Pelodiscus sinensis: one gene and its partner. The protein of the gene in region 1 interacts with the protein of each later gene in a pairwise test. Links are inferred from orthologs where the notes say so. Each region holds a gene or a part of one and is shown in the gene's direction. Other genes may lie near its edges.

Evidence for each region. The genes of interacting proteins can lie anywhere in the genome.
Region 2: the proteins of VAPA (region 1) and ADGRG7 interact in binary tests that used the Homo sapiens proteins (3 or more experiments, as listed by UniProt). The two-hybrid records come from large-scale screens. The link is inferred for Pelodiscus sinensis from reciprocal best matches to the Homo sapiens genes VAPA and ADGRG7.

Annotation. Positions count from the first base shown.
Region 1 is NC_134712.1:85,505,110-85,513,145, forward strand, and holds the start of VAPA (vesicle-associated membrane protein-associated protein A), read left to right. Parts: upstream 1-4,987; 5' UTR 4,988-5,425; coding exon 5,426-5,501; intron 5,502-8,036. UniProt on the Homo sapiens protein: Endoplasmic reticulum (ER)-anchored protein that mediates the formation of contact sites between the ER and endosomes via interaction with FFAT motif-containing proteins such as STARD3 or WDR44.
Region 2 is NC_134711.1:150,957,480-150,965,575, forward strand, and holds the start of ADGRG7 (adhesion G-protein coupled receptor G7), read left to right. Parts: upstream 1-5,094; 5' UTR 5,095-5,138; coding exon 5,139-5,250; intron 5,251-8,096. UniProt on the Homo sapiens protein: Orphan receptor.

The DNA of each region.
Region 1 (8,036 bases):
CAAGACCTGCCAGCCTAGTCTATGACTAGTTAAATGCAAACGTGGACCACATTTGCAACAAACCAAACTTGGAAAATTACAGAAACCTTGGCACTGGCCCACAACATATTGACTGAATTTTAAATTAACAGCAAATATATTACCTGTAATGTTCCTTTTCTAGATATTATTAGCAAATTCTTAATACTGGCCAACAACTTCTGCACCTGATTAAAACCAGTCTTTCTCATGCTTATTTATTTTTACCATAGCACAATAGTGAGGTTTAACAGTTATTTCAGAAGAAGGGCGTTCTCCCGAAATAACTGCATCTACACCACTTTTTGTATTTCGAAATAGCGCCATAATGCAATTACACAAATGAAGAGCGGGATATTTAAATCCCGGCTCCATTTGCAATTTTGAATGTCTTCATTTGTATCCCTCTCTTGAAAGAGGGTGCAAGTGCTAAGGTGCCACAGGACTTTTCGTAGCTTTTGCAGATTCAGACTAACAAGGCTACCCCTCTGTTATTTACTTTGTCTTTTGCTTGCTATATAATACTGCTTTTATTTACTGTTAGAAATGTGAGGATTTGGATCAGTGGTGGGCAATAAGTGGTCTTTGAGCCAGACACAGTTAGCTCCTGGACAATTGCTGGATGCTTTATTTATCTGCATGTCCACAGGTATGTTCACTTGCAGCTTCCGTTGGCCGCCATTTACTGTTCTCGGCCAATGGACGCTATGAGTCACCATTTCCCGAAGGTCCCATTGGCCAAGAACAGTGAACCATGACCAACAGGAGCTGTGCGTGTCATACCTGTGGAGATGCAGGTAAATAAAATGGCCAGCAGCCTGCCAGAAGCTAACCCTGGCAAACCACATCCAGCCCACAGAGTGCTTATTGCCCACCCTTGGTTTGGATAGACTCTAGTGTAACAAATTGCTCATCTCTACTAAGGTGAAAAGAGCAGGAACCGAATTCCAGTTTTAGCTCTCTCATGCTAGCTGCCTCAGACTCAGCATTAGCCTCAAGTTGCTCTTCTGAATTTATGAAGGAGGTCGGAAGGTTGGTCCAAACCATCTATTTGAACTGCAAGCTTTGGTCTGGTCACCCTTAAGACTATGTCCACCCTGAACTTACTCCCTTAACATTTTCTGACAAAGCAACTACAAGCTGCCCCCGATTTGCGATGCGACTGGTTCCAGAGATAGTGTCGCAAGTCAAGGGCATCATAACTCAAGTCCGCAATTACAACAGGCATCGTACGCTGTCGTAAATGCGGGGCCGAGGACATAAGTTAGGGGATTTCAGCCTCTTTCACACTTACAGAAAAGGTCGGAAGTATGGGGGGGGGTCATAAATCAGGCCGTCGCAAAGCGGGGGCCTCCTGCACCAGTAATTTTAACCCTTGTATCTAACACTGTTCAGAGCTTGACATGATGGTTAAAATAATACTAACCACCATTGCTACAATAGTAGTGGAGCTGAGCCAGTAGTAACAAAGTGAGACATTTTAAGAAAAAAGTGAGGAAAGACAAAGTCTTAGACTTCCAATTGCCAACTGAGTTATCTTGATACTGGTCTGCTTGTCTTCTTATTACTTTAATTGATACAATGCATGGATCTTTCTTTACCTATTTAACATGTTCTTCTTGGAACACTCTGCAGAGAGCCAAGTATCATAAATCTTGTGTAACACTCATGCAGTTGACAGCCCTATAGCATAGTCCCATACTTTAGCACTCACTCCTCAGTCATAAGAGCCCAGAACAAAAACCTGCATCTGCGGAGCCTAGAACAGTTGCTATTCCCTCATTGCCACTGAGAATTCATGCATAGGTATATAGCCTATTATGGATTATAGGCACAGCAGAATGTCTTGCTCAGGCGATCCAGAGTGACAGTACTCTGGGGTCCTACGATTAGCCAAACACTCATTTAATCCCAGGGGTTGACCCAGGAAGTTGATTCTGTAACCACAGACTGTGACCAGCCTTTTCTCCTGCTTTGTTGCTCCAGCCTACCCAGTCTCCAACTCCAACCTGACTCTCACTCCTGCCTCTAGACCTCTGGGTCTCTGATAATGGCCTGATCCTTGTTTATGGGACCCAGCCCTTGCGATTCCTCCAACTCCTGCTGGGTGATTGCTACCAGTGTTCCCTGTAAGCTGAGCACAAGGACAGATTCAGATGCTACCCAGTGGACGAGCACCACCAATGCTCTTATCTCTAATAGCCTTTCTGCTCCATGTAAACATCCCTGCGATCCGCAGCTGCCACTGATGACCCAGAATTCATCCTACAACTAGCAATCAGCAAATACTCACTACACAAGAAAGTCCACTACTCATAAATAGCCTGGTACCTCTAACTAGTCCAGCACCCACTCACTCACCCATACCCCATCATCACCCCAAAATCCCCACCCAGTTGCCAGCTGCTCTTAGACTTGTGTCAGCATACACCCATTTACCAGTGTTTATTCAGTTCCATGTTGTATCCCTGCAACTACCAGGATGTTTAGATCAGAAACTCAAATTTATGACTATAGGCAAATTACCCTATTCAATAATTTGCCTGATGCAGCCCTCATGGCTCTGTGAAAAAATTTGCAGTAATGTCTATCCTGCCCACAGTTTTATGAGATACTACTGACATTATTTCACCATTTAAATCCAAACTAAAAATGAAGGGCTTAATTGTGCCAATGGTAGTTTTCAGCTTAGAAGACTGATGCCAATGGAAGAGCCTGTGGCAGTTGAAATTTTACAGCTATTCCCAACTTGTGGTCCTTAAAAAGTTAGGCCTTTAAAATTCTGCAAATAGAGACAAATCTGACTAATTGGGAGGCTCTTTCAAGAAGACAGTGATATGACAAAAATTCTGAGCTGACTAAGAGGGGCTAGTTTTCTCTTTGGAACGGCTTACAGTGGAGCTAGTGAATATAAAGAAGAATAAAAGGGAAATCAATGTGAACAAGAGAAAAATAATACACCATGACAGAGATGATAGTTGTATTTACCAGTCTTTGTGTAACTAGAACTGAGGGAGAAAGACATATCCTGGATGTAGGGAAAAAGTGGAAAACTCCCACTAGACATGAATCAGGAGGCAACTTGATATATACAGTATTACTACAGGCAGTCCCCGAGTTATGCGGATCCGACTTATGTCGGATTCGCAGTTACGAACGGGGATTTTCTCGCCCCGGAGGACTGGAGCGGCGGGACGCCTGGTCCCGCCGCCCGCCTCCTCCGGGGCGAGAAAAGCTGCTCCCCGTCTCCCTGGTCTGCTGCGGGAGCCAGCAGACCAGGGAGACGGGGAGCAAAGCAGCGCAGGACCCGGGGCCGGACCCGTGGCGCTTCCAGATCAGTTCCGGATGCCAGTTCCGACTTACATACAGATTCAACTTAAGAACAAACCTACAGTCCCTATCTTGTACGTAACCCGGGGACTGCCTGTATAAATAAAGAAAAGGAAACAATTTAGAATCTTGTTTTTGGAGCAATATAAAATTAGTACTGGACAGCACACAGCACCAGAATAGTTTTGCTAGGACCATCTGGATCATTCTTGTGCTCACGTCATACAGAAGCTCCACCATCAGACTTACCAACATAAACTATATAGTCACAACCAAACAAGAGTATTTTGCGATTTTGCTCATCAGCACTTAGAACTAGTGATAGGACACAATTCTACTCTCATGGAAGTCAATGTCAAAACTTGCATTGATTTTAATGGAATTAGGTTAAGCCCTGCCTCCTCCTCCCTTCCCTTCCCCCTCGCCTGCTAAACCACAGTACCCAGAAGGGGGGGAATGCTGTCAGTTTTCCATTTGGAATTGTCACCCTATTTCTTTGTGGGAAATTGACTTTTGGGGTGAGATATCCAACCCTTAGGGCAAAAATTGTAAATTATTAATTGATGGATATTTATTATTAGTAGTAAATATTGTTTGAAATATGACTGTGCTGTTCCTGTTAATGCTCCTATGATATTTTCACTAGATTTCAAGCAAGATATTTGTTACAATTTTGCTGGACCTATCATTTTCATTGCTGCCCTTCCACTCATTTAGTTAGACATTTTCTGCCAGTGTACCTAGGGATGGAGAGGGGAGAGGGGAGAAGGGGAGGGGGAAAAGAGCAATCGACTCCACGTGTAACATGTACAGTATAGTCCTCATCTCCTTTGGGAAGATTTGAATGGATTACAGTTCACATTATTTTAATAACTTTTAGATTAGGTCATATTTTCTTCTATACTGTTTGTAAATAATGTAATCCTTTGTCTTGTTACCTACGAAGAGTATTATTTTTAAAGAACAAGTAGAAATGCAAACCTTAGAAAGGAGAGCGGGGAAGGCAACAGAGAGAATGAAAGGGAAAATACATTTTCTTTGTAGAAATTTATTTCACGTTTAAAGTCAGGAAAAGGGAGTGAATTTCCCAGCTTTCTACCTACAAATAAATTGTGGCTTGTTTTTCTCATTTTCAATCATGGATATTGGACACTCTTTGGTATGAATGGGGCTAATCTTCTTACAACCCAACACTGAAACAGTCCAGTTTTTGCCCCCCTGAGCACAACCTGGTCTACATTGGGCCACTGAAAAGGCAGAGAGGTCCAGAGTGCACGTGTCTATAGCAAAGTGAGGTTATTTTTCTATCTACAAACCTTTTCCTAAAGCAAACGCTTAACCTGCTCCATCCAGCTCTACCTTCAGCAGAGGGCGGATCTCACCTCTCTTCCTCTCAGACATCAATCGCATTAAGGAGAAGCCAATGGCAACCACCCCACCCTTGTGCCGCGCACTGATATAGCCCTTGAAGACTACTATTCCCAGCATGCAATGCTTCCAACACCATCAGAGTGTTGCATGCTGGGGATTATAGTCCTGAAGCGGAACTTTGGCCACGTCGAACACCGCTTCCTCCATCGCCATTCGGTGCGCATGCGCCCTTCTTTCATTTCCCTCGAACCGCTCTCGCGATCTGAGTCGTCTAGATTACGCGCCCCCTGCTGCCTCAGCCGAGGCAGTGTGTGACTGACTGATAAGTGGCTCGCGAGGCCAAGTCGAGCGAGCTGTCAACGGACGGCGGCGGGAGCGAGGGAGAAAGAAGAGGACGCCGCGCGCATGCGTCACTTGGGTTCCGCCACTGCCGTCGTAGCCCTCGTGCCCGGGGGGGAGGTTGGCGTTTGATCGCAGTGCGCGCGCGGCCGCCGTGTGTGTGTGGGGGGGTGAATCAATTCTTACAGAAAAAAAGGGGGGGGAACTAGAGGAGCACGCGTGCGCGCGCCCGCGGAGGGGGAAACGAGGCGGCGGCCGCTCGGTCCGGACCCCAGCCCATTGCTGCTCCCCCTCCCCGGCGTGAGCGAGCGAGCGGCGCCTCTGCCCGGCCCCTCCCCCCGCGGCAGGCAGCGAGCGAACGAGCGAGATGGCGGCCGCTGGGACTCTGGCGAAGCAGGAGCAGATCCTGGTGCTCGATCCGCCCACCGACCTCAAATTCAAAGGTACGGGCCGCGCGGGCCGGGCTGCCTCGTGCCGAGGGGCTGCGGGGTGGCGCGGGCAGGCTGGGTCGCCCCCCGCGTGGGCCCCGGCTTCTCCGAGGGACGCGGCGGCGGCGGCAGGGCCCGAACCGGTCTCCCTGCGCGGTGGGGAACCAGAGCCGGTGACCGGGACACGGCGCCGCCGCCGCCGCCATCTTGAGCTCCCGCAGGGAATCGTGTGTCTCGGGCATGGCCAGCGCCGCCGCCTCGGGCCCGGTTCCGGCTCCAGGCCGCTGGGTTGCGGGGAGAAGCGGCAGGTGCCGCAGCAGCCGATACTGCCGGGCCGGGAGCCGGGACCCTCCGCTCTCATGCCGGGAACGTCTGAGCCGCAGGCCCTTAAACCTTCCCACATCGCCCGGCCTCCATCGGCCGGGACTGCGCTGGCATCGCTGCCCTGGCCAGAGCTCTCCCTCCCCCCGACACCTCTGTGGCGTGTGCGCCCCCCCCACCCCCGGAGCAGGGAAGAGCGGTCCGGGGGATGGAGCGTGTGTGGGGAGAGATCGGTCCCCAGGTGCTCTGCAATCTGTGCCCTGGCCGTAGCTGCGCTCTGCTTGCGGCTGGGCTGAGGCCAGCTGTTAACAATGGTTAGTAGCGGGGAGGGAGTGGTGCTATTTTGCACCATCCGCTGGTATCGCTAGAGGATCTGCTATGGCACGCTCCTTTCCCAGATGGAGTTTGACCCTTTTGGGAGGCAGATGATACGACGCTGGCGTATTTCAGATCACTTTTAGGTGAAACCTTCGGATTGTGTCGGTAGGCAGTTCATTAACTTTTTGGTAATGTGTCAGCTATTTGTATGGCTCCAGCTATGCAGTCTTATTCTGTTTGGCTTAAAACCGTTCCCTTAAAATAGCTGATTAAATACACTGTTCCTGATAAACCCTAACTTTAATAGCGAGGGGTATTCTGAGTAGATAGACGCACATTCAGTTGTTAGGAAGACAGGCTCCTTAGAAGATGAAGACCAAAACCAAACAAAAACAAGTTGTGCTGAAGGGGGTGGGTATTCATAATTATGTGGTAAGTTTCAGTGCTTACAGATTGACAAAGGGCATTAAGTGGAACATTTATTAGGTAAAGCATTTACTGGGAAACAAAATTGTTACGGTTAATGTTGAGAAATTATAAATAAGACTATTTGCATAAATACAAATGCCTTAGCTGTTCAAATAGTATTGGCAGTTCTTATACTTTTTAGCTAATCCTTTACTCTGTTTGTATTTAACTTTTTACTTTTAACTGTGTTAATTTTCAGGTTCATTTTCTATTTATAGTATTTTGGGTCCCGAGACAGTCTTGTGTTTCTTGAGAGATTTTGAAAGTTTAATTGTAGAACCCTTTAATGGGCAAGTAGAAAAAGCTAATGTGATCTTGTACCTTACAGAAGGTAACTGTGTTCCTAACTTTAGATAGCCCATGCTTTTTCAACAAGGTTTAAACCTTATCAGAGAAGACAGATTTATACCAAACTGATTTTCATTTCAGAGCTTTGAATTATTCTCTACCCGTTTAGTCAATTAAAATAAACCCTCAGGAATTACTTTAGTTTTTTTGGTAGTTACACTCAAAATTGTAGATTTTTTTGATTATACATTGTTAAAACATTATTAGTTTAAGTTTCTCTCAGAGTAGCAGGCCCCAAAATTGTACGTGGTCTTGGAGAATGACTGCACTGTATTTATATTTCACATCTCACAAGAAGAGTAGAATGAGCATAGATGCATGTCACACCAAAGCTAATATTTATAATTGCATGTGTATTGACCTAGTCCTAAAATGTCTCTTTTAGCCCAAAACACATAACATTTACAGGGTATAAACAGAGTTGTTGAGATTGCAGTCCAATGATGATTCTTACTCAAAGTGTATAGGAAGGATATGAGTAAGCAAACAAATAGGCTCAGTATGCACCTTTGGAATGGGAGCTGTAAGAATTAAGTGTAAACTTAAAATTTATTTAGACAAGTATAGATGTTGGGAAGGCTTTTCTGGAAGGGGATATTTAAAGAGTATGAAGCAAAGTAGGGCCTTTCAGTGTCTGTATAGAAGGACCAAACTTAGTGCATTTCAGATACAGTGGATCTGTTAGCTCATTCTACATGCCATCCCACTATGTACACTTTTATATTAATTGCCCATTGTTCTGACCATCAACAAAACACTTTCTCCAATGAAATAACTTAGAAAGTTGGTGGAGGGAGACTAAGTGATATATTTTCCTTTATACCAATTAAGCAATCTGATGATAATGTACCTTCAAATAGGTTCTGTTTGAAATCTAATATGGCAAAATTATATTGTGTTGATAAAAGAATAGAGTGTTACTATGGTTGCCACTGATTTGCTGAAGTTTTTTTGATGGGTGAATGGAAAGTTGTTGATTCATATAGCATTGCTAACGTCAAATACGTGTGCACACCAGACACCCAGATTAGGATTTTTAGAGTCCTGAATAAAAACAGTTTTTGTTTTGCCCCCAAAGGATTTATTTTCTAACAT
Region 2 (8,096 bases), on another chromosome or scaffold:
TTCTGGTGGCAGAGCGTGAGCGAGGCCAGCCTGGCAGTTTGGGAAAGCAATGCCTTCCCCCACCTAGCATACCAGCTGCCTATTGCTACAAGGGGACATCGATAGCTCCTGTGCTAGATTCAGTGAATAACCTATAAAGTTGTCTGAGAATTGGATGGTCAAGTTTGCTGGATACATTATGTGTGCTTTGGGCAGATATAAATCTCTAGAAATGATATTTCCAGAATTCCAATTTAGAAGTTTGACTTTTAACACTTTTTGGGTATGTCTACACTACCCCCCTAGTTCGAACTAGGGGGGTAATGTATGCATACCGAACTTGCTAATGAAGCCCGGGATTTGAGTTTCCCGGGCTTCATTAGCATAAAGCCGGCGCCGCCATTTTTAAAAGCCGGCTAGTGCGAACCCCGTGCCGTGCGGCTACACGCGGCACGGACTAGATAGTTCGGATTAGGCTTCTAATCCGAACTATCTAGTCCGTGCCGCGTGTAGCCGCACGGCACGGGGTTCGCACTAGCCGGCTTTTAAAAATGGCGGCGCCGGCTTTATGCTAATGAAGCCCGGGAAATTCAAATCCCGGGCTTCATTAGCAAGTTCGGTATGCATACATTACCCCCCTAGTTCGAACTAGGGGGGTAGTGTAGACATACCCTTTGTGACTAATCCTATCATTTCTTTTATACACAAAATATCTCCTTTTACTAAAAATGGCATTACAAAGAGCCAAAATAAAAATGGATTTTCAAGTGTTCAGGATGTTCAGTAATTTTCCCTCTTAAGTTTTTTTCTCCCCTATCTCATGCTATTTTTACCAAATCTGTCTTGTAGGCAATCTGATTACTCTACATTATAGATGAAAGTGAATCTATACCTTACGTCTCAACAAGTACAAACATTGGCATTAGAAACTGAATCTTAATATCAAGTCTGACTCAAACACTGTAATGGATTAAACCAAAACTCCAGAGCTGAATACATCTGCATCCCAAACCTTGAAATGTTCATAATCCAGATCTGAATCTTTTCTCTCAGGCCTATCTCTACTCTAAAGTTAGTAACCTGCTGGCTGCTCATGGTTCATAGTGAGTAGTTTTTAACACATAGGGCTTGATACTGCTAAGAGGTGAGAAATCTCAAAATCCACTGACTTATATGAAGTAATGGGTTGTGCTCACAAAAGCCCGTGATACTATTTATATATCTTTTTGTTCATCTCTAAGGTGCTACAGGATCACTTGTTTTTGAAGTTTTTTTCAAGTTACATAATAGCACGGCTACCCCTCTGTAACTAAAGGAGAGAATGATAAACTTTATTTCACTGTTGCTTCTGTTCCCTTTTCCCAGAAATATTACAGTACAATACCTGCCTTGAAATCATAAAAAAATAAGAGACTAACTTCAATACATACACAACTCTTTGATGCCGTGATGTAAATGTCTGTAATTTGGAGAAATGTGATTTGGTAAAAACAGATGCTAAAGCCTCAAGTTTTAAGACTGCTTGAATTTCTGTACAAATGTTGGGTATTAAAATGATAAAATACAAGAAAAAGCAAAGGGAAAATTGTAATATATTTATAATATCTATAATATAAAAGATTCAGACATATTCTCAAACTGCCTAGTATTGTTATACATTAGTATGATAAAAATCAACCAATATCTTTAGGAATAACCTTTTTTTTTAATGCAGAAAGCTTCACCTGGTGTCTTGATTGGTTATGTTTTGAACACTGCTATATATTAACAAAGAAGTAGGACCTTTGATACTCCCTTACCAATAATTTGTTTGAATTCAAAGAAGGGTTGGAAGACTGCCAGGTTTGCAAACATACCATTTTAAAAAGGTAGTGCTCTAATTAAACCTTAAGTTATTGTTAAATATTGGTGCCTTTTTTTTTTAAAGAAAATGTAATAGTTTATAACAAACAAGATGTGTCTAATTTTATTTAAATAAAACTGATTTATTCATTGCTGAAGTCCATAATCTCTTCACTAGAAAGACTTGAATGTGTAAGGGTATGTGTGTGTATGTGTGTGTTTTTACACCTCTAGTACCCTGAAAAAACAGTTGACTGAGTGGTAACTTCCTGAATGGCAGTCATGCTTTGATTTCCTGCACTTTCCTTGCCATTTACAGGAATGAAAGAAGGCATTTTTGAGGCAGTGCCACTGAGTCTGTACAAAGCACAAATCCCCAAGAGTCAAACACCGTGTTGGAGGGGAATGGCAGGCTATATGTGCACCTTTCCTGCTCATCCCATAGGATCATAGAACTGGAAGGGACCTTGAGAGATCATCAATTCCAGTCCCCTGCCCTCATGACAGGACCAAGTACTGTCTAGATCATCCCTGACAGGTGTTTGTCTAACCTGTTCTTAAATATCTCCAGTGATAGAGATTCCACAAACCCCACCACTGGCAATTTATTCCGGTGATTAACCACCCCGACAGGAAGTTTTTTGTAGTGTCCAAACTAAACCTCCCATGCTGCAATTTAAGCTCATCGCTTCTTGTCCTAATAGCCAAGGAGAACAATTTTTTCTCCCTCCTCCTTGTAACACCTTTTTAAATATTTTCAGATACTTGAAAACTGCTATCCTGTCCCCTCTCTGTATTCTCTTTTCTAAACTAAACAAGCCCAATTCTTTCACTTTTCCCTCATAGGTCATGTTTTTTAGACCTATAATCATTTTTGTTGCTCTTCTCTGGACCCTCTCCAATTTTACCACATCTTTCTTGGAATGTGGTGCCCAGAACGCGACACAATACTCCAACTGACGCCAATCAGCGCAGAGTAGAGCAGAAGAATGACTTCTCGCGGTTTGCTCACAACCCTCCTGTTAATGCATCCCAGAATCATGTTTGCTTTTTCATCGTGCAGTCAGTCAGCAAGGCCATGCATGCTGAAGGCCTTGTGTCACATGCTGGAACTGAGGATTCCTTTGCTGCTCTGCTTCCAAGTGCAACGGGGCCATTTCTCTTGGTATTAGCATCAAATACTAAAAATGAATGAACATTAAAGAAATACAAAAGAGAACACATTCCAAATGAATTGATGTGATGGTGCCCTTCGCTGGCAGAAAAGAGGTTGGAGGCAGCCGATCAAAAGAGAGCTGAAGAGAGCAGCCAATCGGTGCCAAAGGAAGTCAGTTCTCCCTGAGAGCTTAAGGAGGAAGGACTATATTTCTGGAGGGCTGAGAGAAATGCCAGCACCTTGAACGGTGCAGTCCCCCCAGCATGGACTGAGGGAGCAAGAGACAGCTCCTGGCTGGCTGGTGAGGTGTGCAGGCTAAGGACCTGACTCAAGGCAAAGAGGGAGCTGAAGCCAGGTGGGAGGTGGCCCTGGAGGAAGGGAGTGCAGTTGGCCACTGAAGTAAGTGGTGAGAAGGTGAACTGCAGGCCCCTTGGATGCGGAGAGCACAGTGTGTGGCACTGCCAAAGGGCTGCATTGCTGAAGAGGATGTCGCAGCCCTTGGAGAGATATGACTCCTGGAACAGACATAAAGGAGGTGTGGTGAGGCACCACCTGAAGAGAGCACACTACTGTGCAGGGCTAATTGCCATGGCAACTAGCAGGAGGTGCCAGAGTGGCATGTGAATCTTGTTATAATTGGTTAAAAGGGATGAAGCCAATGCTCAGACCTCTATCTGCCCACATCATATATTACACATTGATGAGTATGAAAGAATTGCACGTGAGATTGATGAAAAATACCAGCAAGAATTCTTGAAGCTCTAGAAACAGTCTTCAGTGAATCAGAAAAGGTACCATACCTGTTATCTAGGAAAAAAGTGAACGTAGTGCCCATCTTCAAGAAAAAGGTGACTGGGAAACTGATGGCCAATTGGCCTCAGTGTCTTGTTCAACCTACCTGCATGAAAGGCCCCATGCAAGAGTATATGGGTAGGCGTTTTCTGTGCAGCTTTTGGCTCTAGATCTACAATGTTATCACTCATAAATCAACTCCTTTAAGATAAGTAGTGGAGGCTGCTAGAGATTAGGAATACGTGCAATGGATAAGGATAGGTAGCATTCTGCGCCCTCTAAAAGTTACAGATTCTGTTGAAAGAAAATGGAAACTGTCCTAGAAGTTAGCAGGCCAAGTAACTGTAGTGACTGAGGAAAGTATTTCTCTAAAGCTTCACACTCTGTTTGTTCACAATACTGCAGGGGTTGCACAGCAGTGTTGTGAAGCCCCAGAGTGTTATCTAATATATCTTTCACCTCAACATGCAAAATTGGGGCTTCTTTAGAAACCAGAGACTTGGTGTTGGACCATTTAACCTTTACACAGTGCTTACTGGATGCTCAAATCTGATAGAGCTGCCCATTCTAGGGGTTTCCCCCCCCCACACACACACACTGTGTGTTTGCAGACCCTCTGATAGGAAGGAGGGCAGTACTTTGTGGGGCAGGGGAGAGGGGTCACAAGAAGCCTCAGACTTGGCCAAAAATGTAGACATTAAAAAATGAGCTAGGTATCAAGACCTGAAATTTAAACACTTAATTGAAGCTGCTGCTACCCATTTATGATGGACCATTCACTCTTTGAGACCATTTATAGCACAGTAGAAGGGGAAATCCATCAGTCCCTGGAAAAATCCCTTTGGATGGGCTGCCTTTCCCTACTCCCTGACCTCCTGAGGTAGGACAATTGGAGCAGCTTCATATATTGAGTGGCTTCTTCCTCCCTCAATGCATGGAACAGGCAGAGTTCCTTCTACAGAGACTCCTCATTTGGCTCTAGGTCTAACTCATTCATGCAGATCAGGGACTTGGAGAGAAAGGGGGTCTGAGAGCGATGGCTGAGGTAATATATTTTATTGGACCAACTTCTATTGGTGAGAGAGACAAGTTTTTGAGCTTACACAGAGCTCTTCTTCTTTTCCCAGACCAGAAGGAGAATTCTGTGGAAGCTTGAAAGCATGTCTCTCTCTCCAACAGAAGTTGGTCTAATAAATGATAATCCTTCATCCATTTTGCCTCTGGTTTTGCCTCTCAATATTTCCTTAAATGGAACAGAAAGGGTTACATTTCTAGCCTTGACGATGAGAAAAGTAGTTAATAGTTTATCCATCACAAGGAAGTGAATTAAAAATATATTATAGTTGAGCATGCTTAGGGCATACACAAAATGCCTTCCTTTCACTGGGACAGCAGAGCGTTGATTGTGATTATTTTTGGGACAGTGACCGTAGTGCTTTGGATACTATGCATTTGGCAACTTGTTCTCAGGTTTAAATCAGGTAATACAAATATCTGTTTTATCCAGTTCACAAAATGATGTAATGAATACTGACTGAGTTCTTAGTGCCATTAGCTTCTTGAGCAGGAATGTCTCTTCTCACCATCGTTTGCAGTGTTATTGTAGCTGTGTTGGTCTTAGCAGGATTTTAAGGATGCAATACTTAAGGATTTTAAGGAGAGGCAATACTTTAATCGCTACGATGGTTATATTTTCTATTTTGGCTGAGACAGTCCCCTTTTTTAGCCATGTCCTGATCATTCTGACTTTTTTGGCAACAGTGGGCTTTTGTCCGGTTTGCTTTTGCCATCTGATCAAATGCCAACTTTTGTCAAAAAGTGGGGTGCAGTGTAGAGGAATGAGTGTTTGTGTGTGTGTGTGTGGGAGGAGAATGAGCAGTGATGCCAGTCCCTCATGAAGTGCCAAGATTCATGATGAGGAGGGAGATGAGTAGACAGGGTTTCAGCAACCCAGCCTCATGGAGAGGGTCAAGTGGCTTGAACCAGCCCCATGCTGAGGTGGGGAGAGCTCATACCAGCTCTGGGCTATGTCTCATTTTTCCTTTGGGAAATATGGTCCTACTATTGATTGTAGCAGTTCTCAATTGGGAGGTGCGAGGCCTGCTAGGAGTCCATGAGCAGGTGTCAGGATTTTCAGAGGGGTAGCCGTGTTAGTCTGTAACTGGAAAAACTTAAAAAAACAAGGAATAGTCTTGCAGCACCTTAGGGTGTGTCTAGACTACATGGCTCTGTCGCCAGAGTCATGTAGATTAGTTTACTAGACATATACAAATGAAGCGGCGATTTAAACAATCGCCGCTTCATTTAAAGTAAAATGGCTGCCGCACTGAGCCGATCAGCTGTTTGTTGGCTCAGCGCACTAGTCTGGACGCTCCGCAGTCGACATCAAAGGCATTTGTCAACCGCCCCGTTATGCCTCGTGGGATGAGGTTTACCGGAGCGGTCGACAAATGCCTTTGATGTCGACCGTGGAGCGTCCAGACTAGTGCGCTGAGCCGACAAACAGCTGATCGGCTCAGCGCGGCAGCCATTTTAATTTAAATGAAGCGGCGATTATTTAAATCGCCGCTTCATTTGGGTATGTCTAGTAAACTAATCTACCCAGAGCCATGTAGTCTAGACATACCCTTAGAGACTAACAAAAAATGTAGATGGTACCATAAACTTTTGTGGGCACAATCCGCTTCTTCAGATGAATGGAGTTTAAGGGGTCCAGTTTTCAAATAAATAACACAGAGAGGGGATGTGGAGGGGAGAAGAGGAGGAAAAAGGGGAAAGAAATTGTCAACATGTCCATGCTAAATGAAGCTGATAAGAATACTTAGTACCCACTCTAAGTACCTTTTTTTTTTTTTTGTCATTAGGATGTGGAATGTAGCGGGCCATCCAGCCAACGTTTTTGTTTAGATTTCTGTTGTAGGAATCAAACTTTTAAATGAAATTAAGCTTCCCTGTCAAGCTGGCTTTTAAAATTGTTTTGAAATAATACGGTGACTTTGAGATCCATTAATGAGTGCTGAGGCAAGTTAAAATGTTCCCGAATAGTTTTTGTGTGTTCCCTTTTTCAGATGTCTGATTTATGTCCATTAATTTTTTCTTGTAGAGACGGTTCAGTTTGGCCAATATACATGGCCAAGAGGCATTGCTGGCACTTGATGGCATAGATCACATTAGTGGATGTGCAGTTGTATGAGCTTCTGATGTGGTGGTTTACGTGGTTAGGTCCTGTGATAATATTGCCTGTATAGATGTAAGGACAGGGTTGGCCCCGGGGTTGATTGCAGGGGTTGGCTCCTGGATCAGTATGATAGAAGTGTGCTGCGTGAGGTTACAGCGTTGTCTGTAAGTGAGGATTGGCCTGTCCCCCAAGGCCTGTGAGAGGGAGGGTATGTCTACACTACAAAGTTGATTTGAACTAACAGCCGTTAGTTTGAATTAACTTTAATAGGGGCTACACATGCACATCGCTAGTTTGAACTTAATTGGAACTGGCGGCGTGCTTAATTCGAACTAGGTAAACCTCATTCTGCGAGGACTAACGCCTAGTTCGAATTAAGTAGTTTGAATAAAGGGCTGTGTAGCCACTTAATTCGAACTAGTGGGAGGCTAGCCCTTCCCAGCTTGCCCTGGTGGCCACTCTGGCCACAACCAGGGTAACTCTTCTGCCCCCCTCCTGGCCCTGGAGCCCTTAAAGGGGCACGGTCTGGCTACGGTGCCCGTGCCAGGTGCAAGCCTGCCAGCACCCAGCCAGCAGACCCTGCACCTGGCAGGGCACAAGCCAGCCACCCGCTGCCACCCAACCCTCCGGAGCCTGCCTGGGTCCGCGAGAGGCGGGCACCCGCCTGGTCTAGTGCGGAGATCGTGGACTTCATCCAGGTTTGGGGGGAGGCCTCCATCGTCCACGACCTCCGCACTTGGCACAGGAAAGCAGCCATCTAGGGCAGGATAGCTGCCAGCCTGGCCACCAAAGGCCACATGCGAACCCAGGAGCAGGTTTGCATGAAAATCAAGTTGGTCCAGTGAGACCCCCGACCCTGAGCCCTGAGCTTACAACATAAGAACATAAGAATGGCCGTACTGGGTCAGACCAAAGGTCCATCTAGCCCAGTAGCCTGTCTGCCGACTGTGGCCAACACCAGCTGCCCCGGAGGGGATGGACCGAAAACAATGACCAAGCCATTTGTCTCATGCCATCCATCTCCAGCCTTCCACAAACAGAGGCCAGGGACACCGTTCCTACCCTCTGGCTAATAGCACTCCATAGACCCAACATCCATGACTTTATCTAACTTCTTTTTAAACTCTGTAAGGGTATGTCTACACTACA